Alligator mississippiensis: one gene and its partner. The protein of the gene in region 2 binds, or shares a complex with, the protein of the main gene of each other region. Links are inferred from orthologs where the notes say so. Each region holds a gene or a part of one and is shown on either strand. Other genes may lie near its edges.

Evidence for each region. Proteins that work in one complex are often made in the same cells at the same time.
Region 1: CENPA (region 2) and CENPC share a complex: the UniProt entries of both Homo sapiens proteins name them as parts of the CENPA-NAC complex. The link is inferred for Alligator mississippiensis from reciprocal best matches to the Homo sapiens genes CENPA and CENPC.

The regions. Positions count from the first base shown.
Region 1 is NC_081825.1:133,224,134-133,231,765, forward strand, and holds the start of CENPC (centromere protein C), read left to right. Parts: upstream 1-4,615; coding exon 4,616-4,872; intron 4,873-7,632. UniProt on the Homo sapiens protein: Component of the CENPA-NAC (nucleosome-associated) complex, a complex that plays a central role in assembly of kinetochore proteins, mitotic progression and chromosome segregation.
Region 2 is NC_081834.1:62,718,292-62,725,979, reverse strand, and holds CENPA (histone H3-like centromeric protein A), read right to left. Parts: upstream 3,002-7,688; 5' UTR 2,769-3,001; intron 2,759-2,768; exon of another isoform or gene 2,605-2,758; intron 2,302-2,604; 5' UTR 2,288-2,301; coding exon 2,164-2,287; intron 2,089-2,163; coding exon 1,982-2,088; intron 1,713-1,981; coding exon 1,635-1,712; intron 1,083-1,634; coding exon 948-1,082; 3' UTR 362-947; downstream 1-361. Other genes in the region: complement C4, read right to left, coding at 3,527-3,668, 4,186-4,318, 4,725-4,808, 5,476-5,568, 5,830-5,919, 6,070-6,172, 6,759-6,833, 6,985-7,075 and 1 more. UniProt on the Homo sapiens protein: Histone H3-like nucleosomal protein that is specifically found in centromeric nucleosomes. Replaces conventional H3 in the nucleosome core of centromeric chromatin that serves as an assembly site for the inner kinetochore.

The DNA.
Region 1 (7,632 bases), on a different chromosome or scaffold from region 2:
GTGCAAATTAGGCTGAGACATTGGCGATGTGCACCCCCTGGTGGCAGTGCACCCCTTGCAAAAAGGTGCCATCAACACTGCTGGTGGTGCCTGCGGGCAGTCACCGCTCACCCACACCCCGCTGCTGGCGGTAGCGTCTGCAGGCGGTCCATGATTGCTGCTGCCTGCTGCCGGCTGCTTCTGCAGGTGGTCGCTGACCATGGGCCAGCACTCACCACCACCCCAACCACCGCTGCTGTGGCCACCTGTGGGAGCTTCCCATTTGCTTCCACCATGCTTCCACTGCTGACAGTGCCACCGCTGCCTGCAGGAGCCCGCTGTGCCCCCCCAGCCTTCGGGGGCACACGGTGTTCACGGGCTTAGAGAAAACTTAGAACAGTCTATTTAGCTTGATGTTGTCTGGTGTCAAGTAGGATGTTTCATAGTTTCATAGTAGGTAGGGTTGGAAGGGACCTGAGGAGATCATCTAGTCCGACCCCCTGCCGTGGCACGAAAGAGTACTGGGGTCAAACGACCCCAGCCAGATGTTCGTCCAGCCTCCTTCTAAAGACCCCCAGGGTAGGAGCCAGCACCACTTCTTTTGGAAGTTGGTTCCAGGTCCTAGCCGCCCTGACAGTGATATAGCGCTTCCTAATGTCTAGCCTGAAACTACCCTCTGCTACCTTGTGTCCGTTGTTTCTTGCAACTCCCGGGATTGCTCGGAGGAACAGGAACTCTCCCAATGCCTGCTGGTCCCCCTTGACTAGTTTGTAGACTGCCACTTGATCCCCTCTCAGCCTTCTCTTGTGGAGGCTGAACAGGTTCAGGTCCCTCAGCCTCTCCTTGTAGGGCCTGCCCTGCTGACCCCTGATCATGCGGGTGGCCCTCCTTTGGACCCTCTCCATATTGGCCACATCCCTCCTGAAGTGCGGCGCCCAGAACTGGACGCAGTACTCCAGCTGCGGCCTGACCAGCGTTGCATAGAGGGGGAGGATCACCTCCTTGGACCTGCTTGAGATGCATCTTTGGATGCACAACAAGGTATGGTTGGCCTTCCTGACCGCGTCCCCACTTTGTTGGCCCATGTTCATTGTGGCATCAATGATGACTCCAAGATCCTTTTCTGTCTTGACACTGGTGAGAAGGGAGTTCCCCAGCCTGTAGGTGTGCTGCTGGTTCTTCCTCCCCAGGTGCATCACCCTGTACTTCTCAGTGTTGAACCCCATCCTGTTCTCATCGGCCGACCCCTGTAACCTGTCTAGATCTGCTTGCAGCCTATTTCTTCCTACTAGCGTACCCACTTCACTCCACATCTTAGTGTCATCTGCGAATTTGAACAGGGTGCTTTCTACCCCCTTGCCCAAGCCACTGATGAAGATGTTGAATAGTGTGGGTCCAAGGACCGAGCCCTGGGGAACCCCACTGCCCACATCCCTCCAGGTCGAATAAGACCTGTCCACCATCACCCCCTGGGTGCAGCCCTCCAGCCAGTGACCCATCTGACTGTGTAGGCATCAACACCACTGTCTCCTAGTTTCTTACTGAGAATGGGGTGAGAGACCGTGTCGAAGGCCTTCCTGAAGTCCAGAAAGAATATATACACTGCGACACCTGCATCCAAGGACTTGGTGACCTGGTCATAGAAGGCCACCAGGTTGGTTTGACAAGACTGCCCCTAATGAACCCATGCTGGTTGCCCCTGAGCATAACCTCCCCTGCTGGCCTTCCTGGACAGGTGCCAGGATAATTCTTTCGAAAAACTTCCCCAGGACCGAGGTAAGACTCACAGGCCTATAGTTTCCTGGGTCCTCCTTCCTCCCTTTTTTGAAGATGGGGACCACATTGGCCCTTTTCCAGTCCTCTGGCACATTGCCCGAGCGCCATGAGTGCTCATAGAGCTGTGCCAGGGGTCCCGCAACGACCCCTGCTAGTTCCTTCAGCACTGTGGGGTGGAGATCATCAGGACCTGTGGATTTAAATACATCTAGTCCCTCCAGAAGTTCCCTGACAAGGTCCTCATTAACCCTGGGCCTGGGTGTGCCACCCATGGGGCCCTCAGGGGGTGGGGTGGGGGAGCAGTGGAGGAGATATCCGGGTCCCTCCTCAGAAATATGGAGGCAAAGAAATTGTTGAATATGTCAGCTTTACTGTCAGGTGAGATGACCAGATTTCCTAGCGTGTCCTGCAGAGGCCCCACATTCCTTGGCACCTTCTTTTGCCCCCTTATGTATTTGAAAAAGGATTTCTTGTTGTCCTTGATCTGGGTCACTAGTCCCAGCTCCACTTCCGCCTTGGCCTTCCTGACTGCCCCCCTACATTCCCAAGCTACCGAGGTATAGCCCTCTCTTGTGATGGCCCCTCCCTTCCAACAGGTGTACGCCTCCTTTTTTGTTTGAAGACGTTCCCGGATGCTTTTGGTGAGCAAGGGGGGCCTTTGCGCCCTCTTGCCTCCTTTGCTGAATTATGTTTCCTTCTGGTTATGATATTTCATATTTCACAGGAACCTGAGGTGATGGAAACTTCTCCGGGGCAGGAAATTCTCTTGTGCTGAGGCAGCTTGAGCTCTGTGAATATGTAGATTTTGCTGGAACAATGGGCAGGAGCCAGGGTGTCAGCTTTTAGGTTCAGGTGGTGAATTTCCTTCATTCTTGTAAAATTATGAAGTTTTCATTTCAAAAGAAATTACATTTCATTTGAATACTGGACAGGAATCTGTGAGGGTGACACTAAAGACAAGAGATGGTAGGCATTGGTTGACAAGCAAAACTGATGATGTGATGTGACATTACCCCAGAGGCAGTAGAGTTGGCCCCAGCAGCCTTACTTGGAACAGTGCTGGCCCCAGTAGCCTTACCTGGGCTCCTGGGGGCCTCCTAGGGCTGCAGCAGCGGTGATCCTGCCAGGCAGAGCCTGGCTGGCAGTCCAAGTGCAGCTCCGGGAGCCCTGGTTCTGCTTTTCAGTGGTGTGTGCTGCCTGTGTGCGCGCTGCTTTGTTGTTTTTTTCCATGAGTTTTTTTTTTTTTGACCCCTGGATATCTAGGGGTCAAAAACCCCCCAAAGAAACAAACCAAAATACGGAGCAGCACATACACAGGCAGTGTGCCCTTGCAGTGCAGAGGACACCTAACTGTGAGGTATGTGGTGCTGAAGATGTATTTGCAGCATCACATACCACAGTTTTGCTCAACTGAACGTACCCATTGTAAGCACCAGCTACAGATGTTACACTTTTAACGGTATAAGTGATCAGAAACTGGGCTATACTTATTACAGAACAGAAGTTCAGCACACAAAACTTGTCTATACCCGTAACACAGGGGTGGGCAATTATTTAGGGTGGAGGGCAAGCCATTGAAAGCCACATGACAGGCAGCCAGGGGCAGATAAATATTAATTTTCTATGTTTTTTAGGGGCCCTGTGGGCCGGATAGAATGGCCTGGCGGCCACATCCAGCCCAAGGGTCGCATTTTGCCCAAACCTGCCATAACAGAACAGCAGTTCAGCACATGTAGACCGGTTTAAAAATGGTGGAACCCAGTTTAAGATTTGTCCTCCCCAATGAAAGGGCAAATGTGTGGTGTCTAAAATACACCACTTACAGAAACCTGCGTAACTTAGATGGATTCTGCCTCAGGCTTTCTGAATGTCTGTACCGAACCACTGTGTCCAACCTGGCTAGAAATTAGGCTCTAGTGGGCACCTAAAAAATGAGGCTGAACGTTTCCAGCACCACAAAAGCCTGGCTGGGTAGGTGCTCTTGTAGTATAAAAATGCTGAACAAAACAGTTAAAAAAAACACAGGTTGCTGAGCTGAAATACTAGTTGTTCAGTCACACAAGTAAGAATCTTACACAGGGGGCGCACTACCTTTTTGGCTTGTTTACCCATCTGTGGGTCCTACAAACCATGGGAATGATTAGTCCAGGAGTGAGGGGGTGGCTCAGACACAATGCTAGTCAACAACCGCTCTGTAAGAGGCCATCACTGAAATGATCTGGCACTGGCTGCAGGTCCAGGAAGCTTGGGCCTGACGCATGGCTTCCTGCCATCGTTTCCATTTGACACATCTTCAAAGCAAAGGCCTGACAGATGCACCATCATGCCTCAGCAGCCCAGTGCTCAGCCAGTGACACATGCAACACGGACCTGTGGAGGCAAGCACACACGAGGGGCTCACGTGGGGGCATGAGGCGATGGCAAGCACAAAAAGAACTGGCTTGCCCTAGAAACTGCCTAAGTGCCCAGCCACGGGGCAAGCACGCCAGAGGGCAGCGTGTGAATGTGCAGGAGCAGGGGGCACTTAGGACTAGAGGAGAGGGCCTCGCGGTGCCAGGATGCCCATGCGGGGAGGGCTGCGTGTTAATTGCACAGAGGAACCCTGTGCTGGGAATTTGGGCATGAGCATGCCAAGGAGGTACAGAGGGCTGGTGTGAGTGCTCAGGAGTGCAAGGGGGGGTAGGGTGGGCGTGAACAGGCAGGCATGCAAATGAGCATGGGAGTTTACCTCTAGGCTGCGGAAGCCCAAGAGCCCCCTCAAACCAAACCCCGCCCAGCTCCACAGAGACAACAAGCGACTCTTCCTCCCTCCTCTCCTCTTCTCTGCTCAGCCGGGAGAGAGGGGGGGACGACTTAGCGGATGCGCACCCTCCTCCTCACTCCCCCCCACCCCCCGCTGAGCGGACGGCTGGCTAGGGAAACGGCTCTGGTGACAGGCCATTCCGGCCCCGCGCTCAGCCAATGGGCTTCTGCGCACCGCCCCCTGGAGGAGAGGCGCATGCGCAGTGGGAAAGCGCTGGGTTTTCGAACGAGCGGCCGGGCGCGCAGGCTTCAGAGGCGGCGGCCCCGGCACCAGCGCTGGGCGACAGGGCTGTCGGCGACATGGCAGAGGCGCTGGTGAGAGCAGGGGCCGGGGCGGGGGACCCTGAGGCGGCGCCCCATTTCAAACGCCGTGGAGGACGGTTGGGGACGGGGCTCGCGGGTCCTCGCGCCTCCGAGGGGCTGTGCAACGTTGTGAACCGCGCGCGGGGGCCGTGACTGCACTTGCTCGAGGGCGGCGCCGTTGGCCCTTGCGCTCTGCGCCTGCGCGGGTTAAGGCCCTGAAGCGCTGCCCTGCCCCCCTTGTCGAACTGGTCTTGCCCTTGCTGTCGGCCCGCTCTTGCCCCTAGTGCTTCTGTGACTTCGCCCCCCGCCCCCTTCGCTTCGATGCATCTGACTCCTACTGAGCCTGTTGGGACCCCGCACCCTCTGTTCTCTCAGTACTGCTGTTCCAGCCTCTCTTTAATTGTGTTCCGTGTTGCCAGGTGTACGACAATGATCGTATTTGTACGATAGTTTCAAGCCTTGTCTGATCAGTTAGAGGAAAAAGTGTTCAAAATGTAGTTATTCGTGAGGCAGCTTGTTGATGCAGCAGATGGAAAACCCCAGTCACTCTCGGGGAGCCTTAACTGACTTTTGGGTTTGCTGTTAGTACTTTCTTATGATGGCCTGCCTCAAAGTACAGAAACGCTTCACCTTTGATGACCCATTTCTCACTCACTGGTGACTTACAGTGGGCAATATGAAGGAAATAATAAGATGTATTTGCATAATCATTTCATACTTATTTGGACATTCTTTTGGTGCATAATAGTTTTTCAGTAAATACAAAAGCTTTGAGCTTCCAATATGATAACTTTATATTTAAGATCTGACAATGCTGGTTGTGCTTCTGACTGCTCTCCAAGGCATCACCTTGAGCTTGTCTGCGTTGAATGTCCCCCTGAGAGCTTCTGCTCAGTTTTCTGACCCGCTGAGATTCTTTGTGATTTGAAGGCTGTCACAGAAAGCTTGTTGAGCACATTTGTGGCCAGCATGAAACTAGGAAAGGTTGCAAACGTGTTGGAGGACAGGAGCGCGAGTCGGAAGGATCTCAATGGTTGGAAGCTCACAGGACGACAACCTCTTGCAGTCTGAACATAATGCTTTCTTAAAGAGCCTTACTAGTCACAAACCTAAGAATGGCCAGCAGGACTGTATCAACCCACCCCCTAACTCAAACTCTGCCAGCCCTAGCAATTACGTCTCTAGCCCAAACTCCAACCCAGACCTGAGCCCAGAGAGCCCTACTACTCGGCCGTAAGCCTTTTTCACAGTTCCCTTCCAGCTCCATCCCTAATCCTAAATCTAACTGCTACCCCAACCCTAGCCTGAGGGCTCATTAGCTCTAACCGTAAATGCAGCGTGATAATCCGTAATCCTAATCTGGGGCGCACTGTCAGCCCCACCACTAACTACCTCTGGAACCACTTAGCAGTTGCTACCCAGGCCCAGGACAGACCCTGTGGGGCTTCACTTAGAACCTCCTGTCCTTCTGAAGTAGGCTTGTTAATATTTACCCTCTGCTTGTGGCTACTGAGCCAATTATCTATCCACCTTTTAGTAGTTTTGTCCAACACACATTTCTCCAGTTTCTTTGAGAAGTTCATGCAGGACATTGTCAAAAGCTTTGCTGAAGTCCAGATACACTATCCACGGCCTTCCCTTCATCCACCAAAGTAGTTCTTGGCAAGGAAATGCTGCCTGCCAGCCTGTGCTGCAAGGGAGGCATTTTAGACCAGCCTAAGGTTGAATTGCACCCAAGTCTGGTGGTGGGATGCCAGCAAGGTGTTTTCAGCACTCCTGTCTCAGCCAGCAGCTGTGGGGTGACCGCTGGCAAATGCCATGCTGCAGTTATACTGATGGGGCTAGAGCATGATGATGCAACTGCATTTGCTGCACATTAGTTTTTCCTAAACTTCTCTGCCTACACTAGGGGAAGAACAGAGATGACGCCTTGTGAGGAAATAGCCACAATGGCAGGGTGTCAAGTCAAATCTTGATGCAGTGCGTACAGAAAACAAAATGACAATGCTGTGTTCATCATGACTGCCACTTGGCATGAAGGAATTTGCCTCAAGCACCAAAATCTAATGGCTACACAAGCCAAGATGCAAAACAAATAATGTTGAAGACTGTAGAAAAAAAATATCTGACCAAAGCCTTAACATCAGAGCCAGGTATTGGCCAGCCTACTAGAAATTGATGGTCCAATGGCTCCCCTCTTGCATTGCTAAGAAAAGGAGTAGTAGAGAAATCACCAGAGGTCTGGCATTACATAACCCTGCTTGCCAATCAAATACAGATTACAGTTTAATGGGGGCTGTGGGACCATAAGACTACAAATCTAATGCAAAGACCCAGGTCTTATAAAATTTAAAAGCAAAAATTAGCTGTAAGGATGCAGCGGCAGCAGAACTCAACTGCAGAGCATGATCAGAATGATGCATACTAGGAAGGTATGCTAGAGGGAGCTAGCATGCTATTGTGCCCCTCTTAATCTCTTCTTATTTATTAACTTATTAGGTCTCTCTTATCCAAAAGGCTCAGAGCATCTTACAATAAACAAATGACCCACAGGCAGGATTCCCCAAACAGCACCCCAAAACCCAAGAATTTCACTTCCATCTGCAACCACCACTTCCCCGGTTCACTCAGCCTTTCCTTGTATAGTTTATATCCATCTCCTGTCATTGTCATTTGCCTTGGATGCTTTCCAGTTTATATATATCCTCCGTAAAATGTGGAGCCCAGAAATGCACTGAGTATTCCAGTGGAGACCTACTCCAGCACTGAATA
Region 2 (7,688 bases):
CTCTCCCTGTGTCCTGGTGTTTGGACCATGCTGGAAAAATGGCTTCTCCCTTCTTCTTGGACCAGGCCCCTGTATTGCCTTTCTGACCTCAGCAGCCCAGGCCAAGAGAAGCCAGCGGTGTTGGCAACTCGCCAACCGATTTAAAAATCATCACTGGTCACCTGGGCAGAGGAGCAGGGGCTTTTCCCTCCCCCACTCAGGTGACCAGAGAGCCCACATCCTCCAAACCAGGCTTCTGTCATGTAGGCAGGAAGGGAAATCCCCCCTCCTTTAGGAATTTGACCCCAGTGTCCCAAGCTGACCAAGACAGGTCTCTGGAGAGACAGACAGATGCTGGCATTTCTGCCACAGCCAGCACCACTTGAAAAATCCAATATTGCTTTAATTTGGCCTGAAATTAGCAGAGAAAACAATGCATCGCCAAGACTACAGCTCTCCAAGCACCCCCCCACCCCCCAGCTAAAATCATGGGGAAGAAGAGGGACCAGGGCACGGGTAACTATGGAAGAAGGAACTTTGGGGGGAGGGGTTAAGCAGGGATCCCATGGGGCACAGAGCTGGGGAGGGGGCAACTAGGGAGCCTGGGGCAAGGGGGAGCAGGAGCAGCCGTTGTTGCCATCTCCTCTCCCCCTGCCTAAGTCAGGGCCCCGAGATCCATGGTCCCTCTCCCCCACAGGGGGTTCAGGACCTCCCCATAGGGCTCAGCACTCCCCACTGGGGTCAGAGCCCCTCCAGTGGGGCTAGCTCAGACACTCCCAGGGTTGGGGGGGCAGAAACACAGGGCTGGGGGCACCAGGAAGGTTCCAAAACCCCCCTGCCCTGGGGTAGATTTGCGGGGAGGAAACATCTTAGTCCAAATTAAAAGCCCCCAGCTGCCTGCCCTACACAGTGCAGGGCAGGGGAACTGTGGGGTGCCACGGGGTGCCCTGGCTGGAGGGCCATAGAGGTCAGCCCAGGCCCTCATGCAAACCGCGGATGCGCCGGGCCAGCTGCATGTCCTTGGGGAAGAGGGTGACACGCTTGGCGTGGATGGCGCACAGGTACGAGTCCTCCAGCAGGTGCACCAGGAAGGCCTCAGCCGCCTAGCAAGGGGCACAACAGGGGAGGCAGCCATCAGGGGTGGGGCTGGTCCCTGAGGCCCCGCCTCCTGCCCTGACAACCCGCAAAGCCCTGCTCCCAGCCTGGACACACCCCACCTAGGCTCTGTCCCCTACTTGGACCCCACCTGTGGCTCCACCCCCTGCACAGAACCCACCCTGAGGCCCTGCCCCCTGCCCTGATAATGCACAAAACCCTGCCAGGATACCTGCCCCCCACCCCCTGCCCAGATGTCCCACATTTAGCCCAATCCCCACACACAAACAACCCACCAAGCCTCACCCCCTGCCTAGGCAACAGCCTGTGGCCCTGCCCCCTAACCAGACAGACCCCTGCAGCCCTGCCCCCTGCCTGGACACCCCCCACATAGCCCTGCCCCCAGAAAAGACACACCCCAACATACCCCGCCGGTCCATGGGCACCCGCCACAAGCATCGCCCCTGCCCAGGCACCCCCACGGACCCCAGTCACCTCCCCTGCCCTCCACACCCCCCAGGGCCCAGACATGCCCCAGGGGTGCCAGCCCCCACACTCACCTCCTGCAGGGCCAGCAAGGCCATGGCCTGCCAGTGGAAATCCACCCCCCGTGTGTAATTCAGGCAGATTTCCCGCACCTGGGGGGGAAGGGGAGTCAGAAAAGCTGGCGGGGGGCAGGGTTTGGGGGGGGGGGGGGTTAGATAGACCAGGAAGGGGGCAGGAGGATGGAAATCAAACAGGAAGGAGAGGGATGGATGTGGGGGTGTTGATCAGACAGACCAGGAGGAGCAGGAGGCTTTGGGAGGGGGTCAGATAGGCCTGCAGGGAGGAGAGAGGGCTTCAAGCGGGGGTCAGACAGACAATGTCCTGAGTGGGGGCAATGCCGGGGGGGCGCGCACACACGCACCACGCGGGCGAAGGGCAGGCGGCGGATGAGCAGGTCCGTGCTGCGCTGGTACTTGCGGATCTCCAGCAGTGCTCGCTGCCCTGGGCGGTACCGGCGCCGCCGCGGTCCTGAGGGCCCGACCGGGGACGTTAGCGGGGGGCTGGGGGAGCACATACCCCGCAGCCCAGGGAGGGGACACTCACCTGGCAGGGCGCGGCGGGGGGAGCGCCGGGGTGGGGGTGGGGGCGGGGGTGGCGGTGAGGGCGAGGGCGAGGGGCGAGTGGGGCGGCGCCGGGGGGTGGTCTTGCGGGCGCGGGGCCTGGGCATGGCACAGTTGGCACCTGCGGGGGAAGGGAGATGGGGGGTAGAGGGGAGGACCCCGGGGTCCAGGGGCAGCCCCCTCCTCCGAGCCAGGACAGAGCCCGGCGCTCAGCTCCCAGCATCCCTTGCTGTGACCCCACTGTCCTCCCACAGCTGGGAAAGGGACCACGCCTGCCGGCTCCCCCCAGGAGCCCCATATTTGCCCCAGGAGGAACCCACGCCCCCCAACCCTTCCTATGCATTGCAGTGACGTCACTGCCAATCCTTCTGGCGTCACCCGGCTGCCCCATGACATCGCCGCCCCCATGTCTTTCTGACGTCACCTTGCCCCCCCCAACCTCCTAGCTCCTGACGTGAGGCCCCCGCGCGCCCCTCTCCGTGACGTCAGCCCGGTTCGCTCGCGCCCCGCCCGCGCTGGGGGGAGGGAACCACCCGTGCTGCGGCCGCCGAGATTCGAACTTCCCGCCGGGCCCCGCCCCCCTCTTACATCACTTCCGGCGGGGTTCGAATACAGGCGAGCCGGAGGAGGCGGGTGCTTCCGCGGAGGGTGGCCGCGGAGCCGTTCTGCGCTGTGTGGAGGCCCCGACTCGATGGTCCGCCCCTTCTCGTCACCACGGGGCCCGCTCTGCGCCGCGCGGCGGCCTCATCTCTGTGGTGACCCCCGGGGAGGCCTGCGGATTTCCACTGGCAGCCGGGGGCGGGGGGCGCCCCTGGGGGCGGGGCGTGTCTGAGCCCTGTGGGGGCGCGCAGCACCCGCGCGTGCGCACACGCTCCCGCTTTCAAGCCCCCTCGCAGTCTGACGTTCATTCGCGCGCTCACCCCCTCACACCCAGCCACACACACATACACCCCCCAACACTGACACCCCGACACCCCCCCCACACACACGTACCCCCAGTCACAGCCCCCACCCCGCGTGCGCGGCTGCCCCCCAGGCCCGGCGGGCTTGAGGCAGGGGTGGATGGGGCAGGCACAACCCCCCCCCCGCCCCATCGCAGCACCCCCACAGCTCCTGCCCCCTCGCGGCAGCCCCCGCGGGACCCGAGCGACCCCCCAGACCAAGCCAGGACAAGGGCTGGGGCAGGACCCGGGTTTATTATTGCACAGCGGGAGGGGCTGGGCCCGGCGCGAGCGGGGAGGGTGCAGCAGCCCCGGGCCAGGGGCACCGGTGGTCCCGATCCAGGCACCAGCAGGTCCTGATCCAATCCCGGCCGGGGGGTGCAGGCGAGCCCGGCCCTGCGGGGCTCAGACCTTGCAGCCGTTCTGGCCGTACGCCTCCTTGAAGGCGCGGAGCTGGGCGCAGAGGTTGCGATAGGCCGTGGCCTCGCAGCGCCGGTCGTCCGGCAGCTCCTCCACCCACGAGCCCTCCTCCAGCAGGTACCGCAGCCTGGGGGCAGGTCACAGGGGTCACGGGGGGCAGGACACGCTCAGCCCCGCACCCAGCACACCCCGCAGAGCCCCCCGCCGCGTCCCCTCCCTCAAGACCTCCAGGCATGCGGGCTGGGGAGGTTGCAGGGGTCACAGCAAGGCCACAGAGGGGCTACGGGGGGCATAAGACCCGCAGCCCACCCTGCCAAGACCCCCCGACCGCTCCGGCCCCGCAGAGAGAAGTCACGAGGGTCGCCCTTGGGACACTCTGCCTCCACAAAACCCCCTTGCTAAGTGCCCCCTACGCTCCCAGGTGCCCCCCCAAACATCCCACGGTTTGGGGAGGGTAATGGGGTCACGGAAGGAGCACGGTGGTCACGGCATCACAAAGGGGTCGCACCGGGATCAAGGGAGCTGCGGAGGTCTCAGTGGGGTCACAGGGGTGATGGGAGGTCCCCGAGGTGCAGGAGTCCCTCAGTATACCCCACCAAGCCTCCCACCTCACCAAAGTCCTCAGCCCTGCCCCCCGCACTCACTGGCCCTGGGCGTCACGGGTCTCCCCATCCTGCCCCATAAGCAGGTAGCGGCGCCCAGGCGCCAGGCGCAGGCGGCAGGAGGCACGGACCAGGAACCAGCGGCTCTGGCCCACCTGCACTCCCACGTCACCGGCTGTGAGGGAAGGGGGCATCAGACAGGGGCAGGGGAACCCCCTTGCCCCCCCCTCAGTCACCCCAACCCCCTTGCCCCCCCCTCAGTCACCCCAACCCCCTTGCCCCCCCTCAGTCACCCCAACCCCCTTGCCCCCCCTCAGTCACCCCAACCCCCTTGCCCCCCCCCAGTCACCCCAACCCCCTTGCCCCCCCCCTCAAGTTTGTAGTCACAGCCCCCTGGGACTCCCCACCCCTTATGGGGCCACTCTCCCCCCCCTCTCGCCCCCAGCGTCTACAGGCCCCCCAAACTCCTGGGGTCACCCCACTGCTGCCGCCACCCCTGCAGAGTCCCCACCCTAGAGATCCCACGGAGTCAACCCTCCCAGCCCCCTACCCTGGAGTCCCCCCCATTGCCCCACACTCACTGAACTGCAGCGGCTCCAGCACCTTCGTCACATAGGCCCGGAAGCCACTCTGGTCTTCCTCCCTCAGCACCTGCACCTCATACCCTGGGGGGGAAGAGGGGGGGGGGGCAGGGGTCAAGGTCAGGGATCGGGACTAGGACTACCCCACTGGCTTAGGCAGGAGTTAGTGGGGGAGGGGGGGGGGCTTCTGGGAATTGGAGAAGGGCGCAAAAAGATGTTGGGTGGGGGGAGAGGTAAGTAGGGGGTACAGGATGGGGGAGGAGAGATGGGGGGTCCTCAGGGAGCCATAAATATACAGCTCTGAAGGAACTGCCATTGTTCCCTTCCCCACTTGCCCCAGCCACATGCAGCTGCCACCGCCTGCCTATCAGGGCTGATCCAGCCTCTCCTGAAATGCAGGAGAGTGGAAGGGGCTGGATCATGGGGCAAGGAGCATACTTGGGTGTGATCGGGGGGGGGGGTGCAGCTGGGGGTGTCAGGGTGTATGGAGGAGTCGGGGACCCCTGGAGTGGAACCAGCAGGCATAAAACCACTACAGTGTCAGTAAAAAAAATATGTCTGGCAGTAAAAAAAGCAATGTCTTAAATTGTTGACCTTGGGGGTGGGAGGGGCACGGAGACCATGGGGAGAGGGTCTCTAGGACATCCCTGGTGTGTGCATGTGTGGGGGTGGGGCAGGTATTGGAGGTCAAGGGTTCCCTCCAGGCCTCCCCCCACTCCCCTCCCGGCACCCCTCAGGGGTCCAATCTCACCGTACTGCACCCGGGGGCTGTAGCAGGCAAACTCAGTGCGTTCAGCCTCTGTCACTTTGTCATCCAACGTTCGCTTCTTCCGGGAGCAGGCACCTGGTAGGGAGAGGGAGAAAGGGATCAGGACACCTGGGTTCTCTGCCCACTCCAGGAGGAGTTAGGGCTCATGGGGTTGGAGTAGAGGGGGTCAGGCTGCCTGGGTTCTCTCCCCTCTGTGGGAGGGAAATGAGGGTTGGAGAGTTACCGCAGGGAGCCCAGACACCTGGGTTCTCTCCCTGTTGTGAGAGGGGAATGGGGACTGGGGTGATTAGAACAGGAAAGGGGGTACAGAGAGCCCAGACACTTGGGTCTCCTCACCTTCGGCACACTGGCAGACATCATTGGAGCAGAGGGCTGAGATGAACTTGCTCCTACTGGGGGCGTTGTAGAACACGCTGCACTGCCGGCCTGGGGGCAAGAAGTGGGGGGATGGGCTGGTCTCTGGGGCAGCTCCTCTTCCATCCAGCTTCCCCTGACCCCTCCACCCCCCCACTACCCAAGCTCTCCCAGACCCCATCTGCCTGTCCCCCTTCACCCTTGCCCCACTGCAGCCCCCACCTGGCTCATAGAAGTCATAGAGGGTGGCAGCCGCAGGCTGGAGCATCCCCACAGGCACCGTCTGCTGTGCCCGGAACCCCACGCAGTCTCGGACCTCGGGCACCTGGAAGTAGAGGGGTGAACACAGGGTTGGGGGGAGAGCCTCATGACTGACATGGAGGCCCCCAGAGCACATGCCCACTACCAAAGAACCCAGATGTAAAGGGATGCTCCCACCTACTGCCAAAGGACCCAGGTGTTTAGGGAAGCCCACACCTATTGGCAGAGGTCCTAGGCATCTGGAGATGCCCATGCTCTTACTGGCAGAAGACCCAAATGTGTCTGGAAAGCCCACAATGACTGCCAGAGGCCCTAGGCATCCAGGGTGCATGCGAACACTATGTTTATCTCATGCTTAAGGCGCTAATTCTGCGATACATTGTGGCATGTTCAAGCCATTACCCCTGGAAAACAAGCCACTGAAATGGGGATCCAGCCTCAAAAACGTTAGTTGTGAAACAAGGGAAAGGTCTGCAGCTCCTTCATATCACACTTTAGGTGGGAGCAAGGCATGCTACAGCCAGACAGACACCACCCCCAAGATGCTCCTATGCCCATTCTGCCCCCCAAACCCTCCCCCATACCCCTGGAGCTCCCCAACGCCTTTACCCCTCCACAACTCTAACCACAGTTGCCCTTCCCCTGCTCACCGTCTCAAAGTAGAGAAGGAGCCGCTGCCCCTGCACCTCGTAGTGGCTGATGTAGCGGTCAACCAGGTCTTTCAGCTGTGGGGATGGACAGATATACAGATGACTCGTGGAAGAACAGACATGCCTGTTCTTCTCCCCCATGAGGAGAGGAGGTAGGGGTCCCCCCCGGGGGCTGATCAGAAGTGCAGTGGGTGGGAGGGGACAGGGAAGGATCAGGGCCCCTGACCTTGTCCAGATCAGCCGTGTGGGGCTGGAAGCCACTGAGCAGGGTGATGTCAGCGATGGCCATGCCTGAGATCGGGGCCCCTGGCTTCCTCCTGCAATGTGGGGTGGAGAGGCAGAGTGAGAACATGGCAGGAAGTCCTGCCCCCCCCACCCCCAAGGAAGCTACAGGAAGTCCAACCTCCTCCCCAATAGACTAAAGAAGTAACAAGAAGTCCCCTTTCACCCCAGCACAGGCCATGGAAGGAATAAGGGGACTGTGGCTGGGAGCTGCATCTGCCAATGGGGTGAGATAGTAGCTAGAAGACCCATCCCCAGAGCACGTGCACAACAGGAAATACCGCTCCCCAGCAGAAGTCCTGTGTTCGAAAGAGGCAGGCAGAAGGAAGTCCCACCCCCTGAGGCAGTGTAAAACAGGAAGTCCCACCTCTGGAGCACATGCAAAGCAAGAAGTCCCGCCTCGAAGAGAGAAAAGGAAGTCCCACCCCTAGGCACAGAGCTGGGGCAGGAATTCCCCACCACCACAACCACCAAGTAGAGGGTCCTCACTGGATGCATATCGTGTAGTGAACCTCCTTCTCCCTTTGACTGCGGTCAGCTGCGTCTCTCCGGCGCCGGCGCCGGGCATCAAACCAGTGGATAGCGTGGAGGGGGGCATCAGCTGCTGGGGCTTCATCCCCATAGTCATAGTTATACTCATAGTCCCCC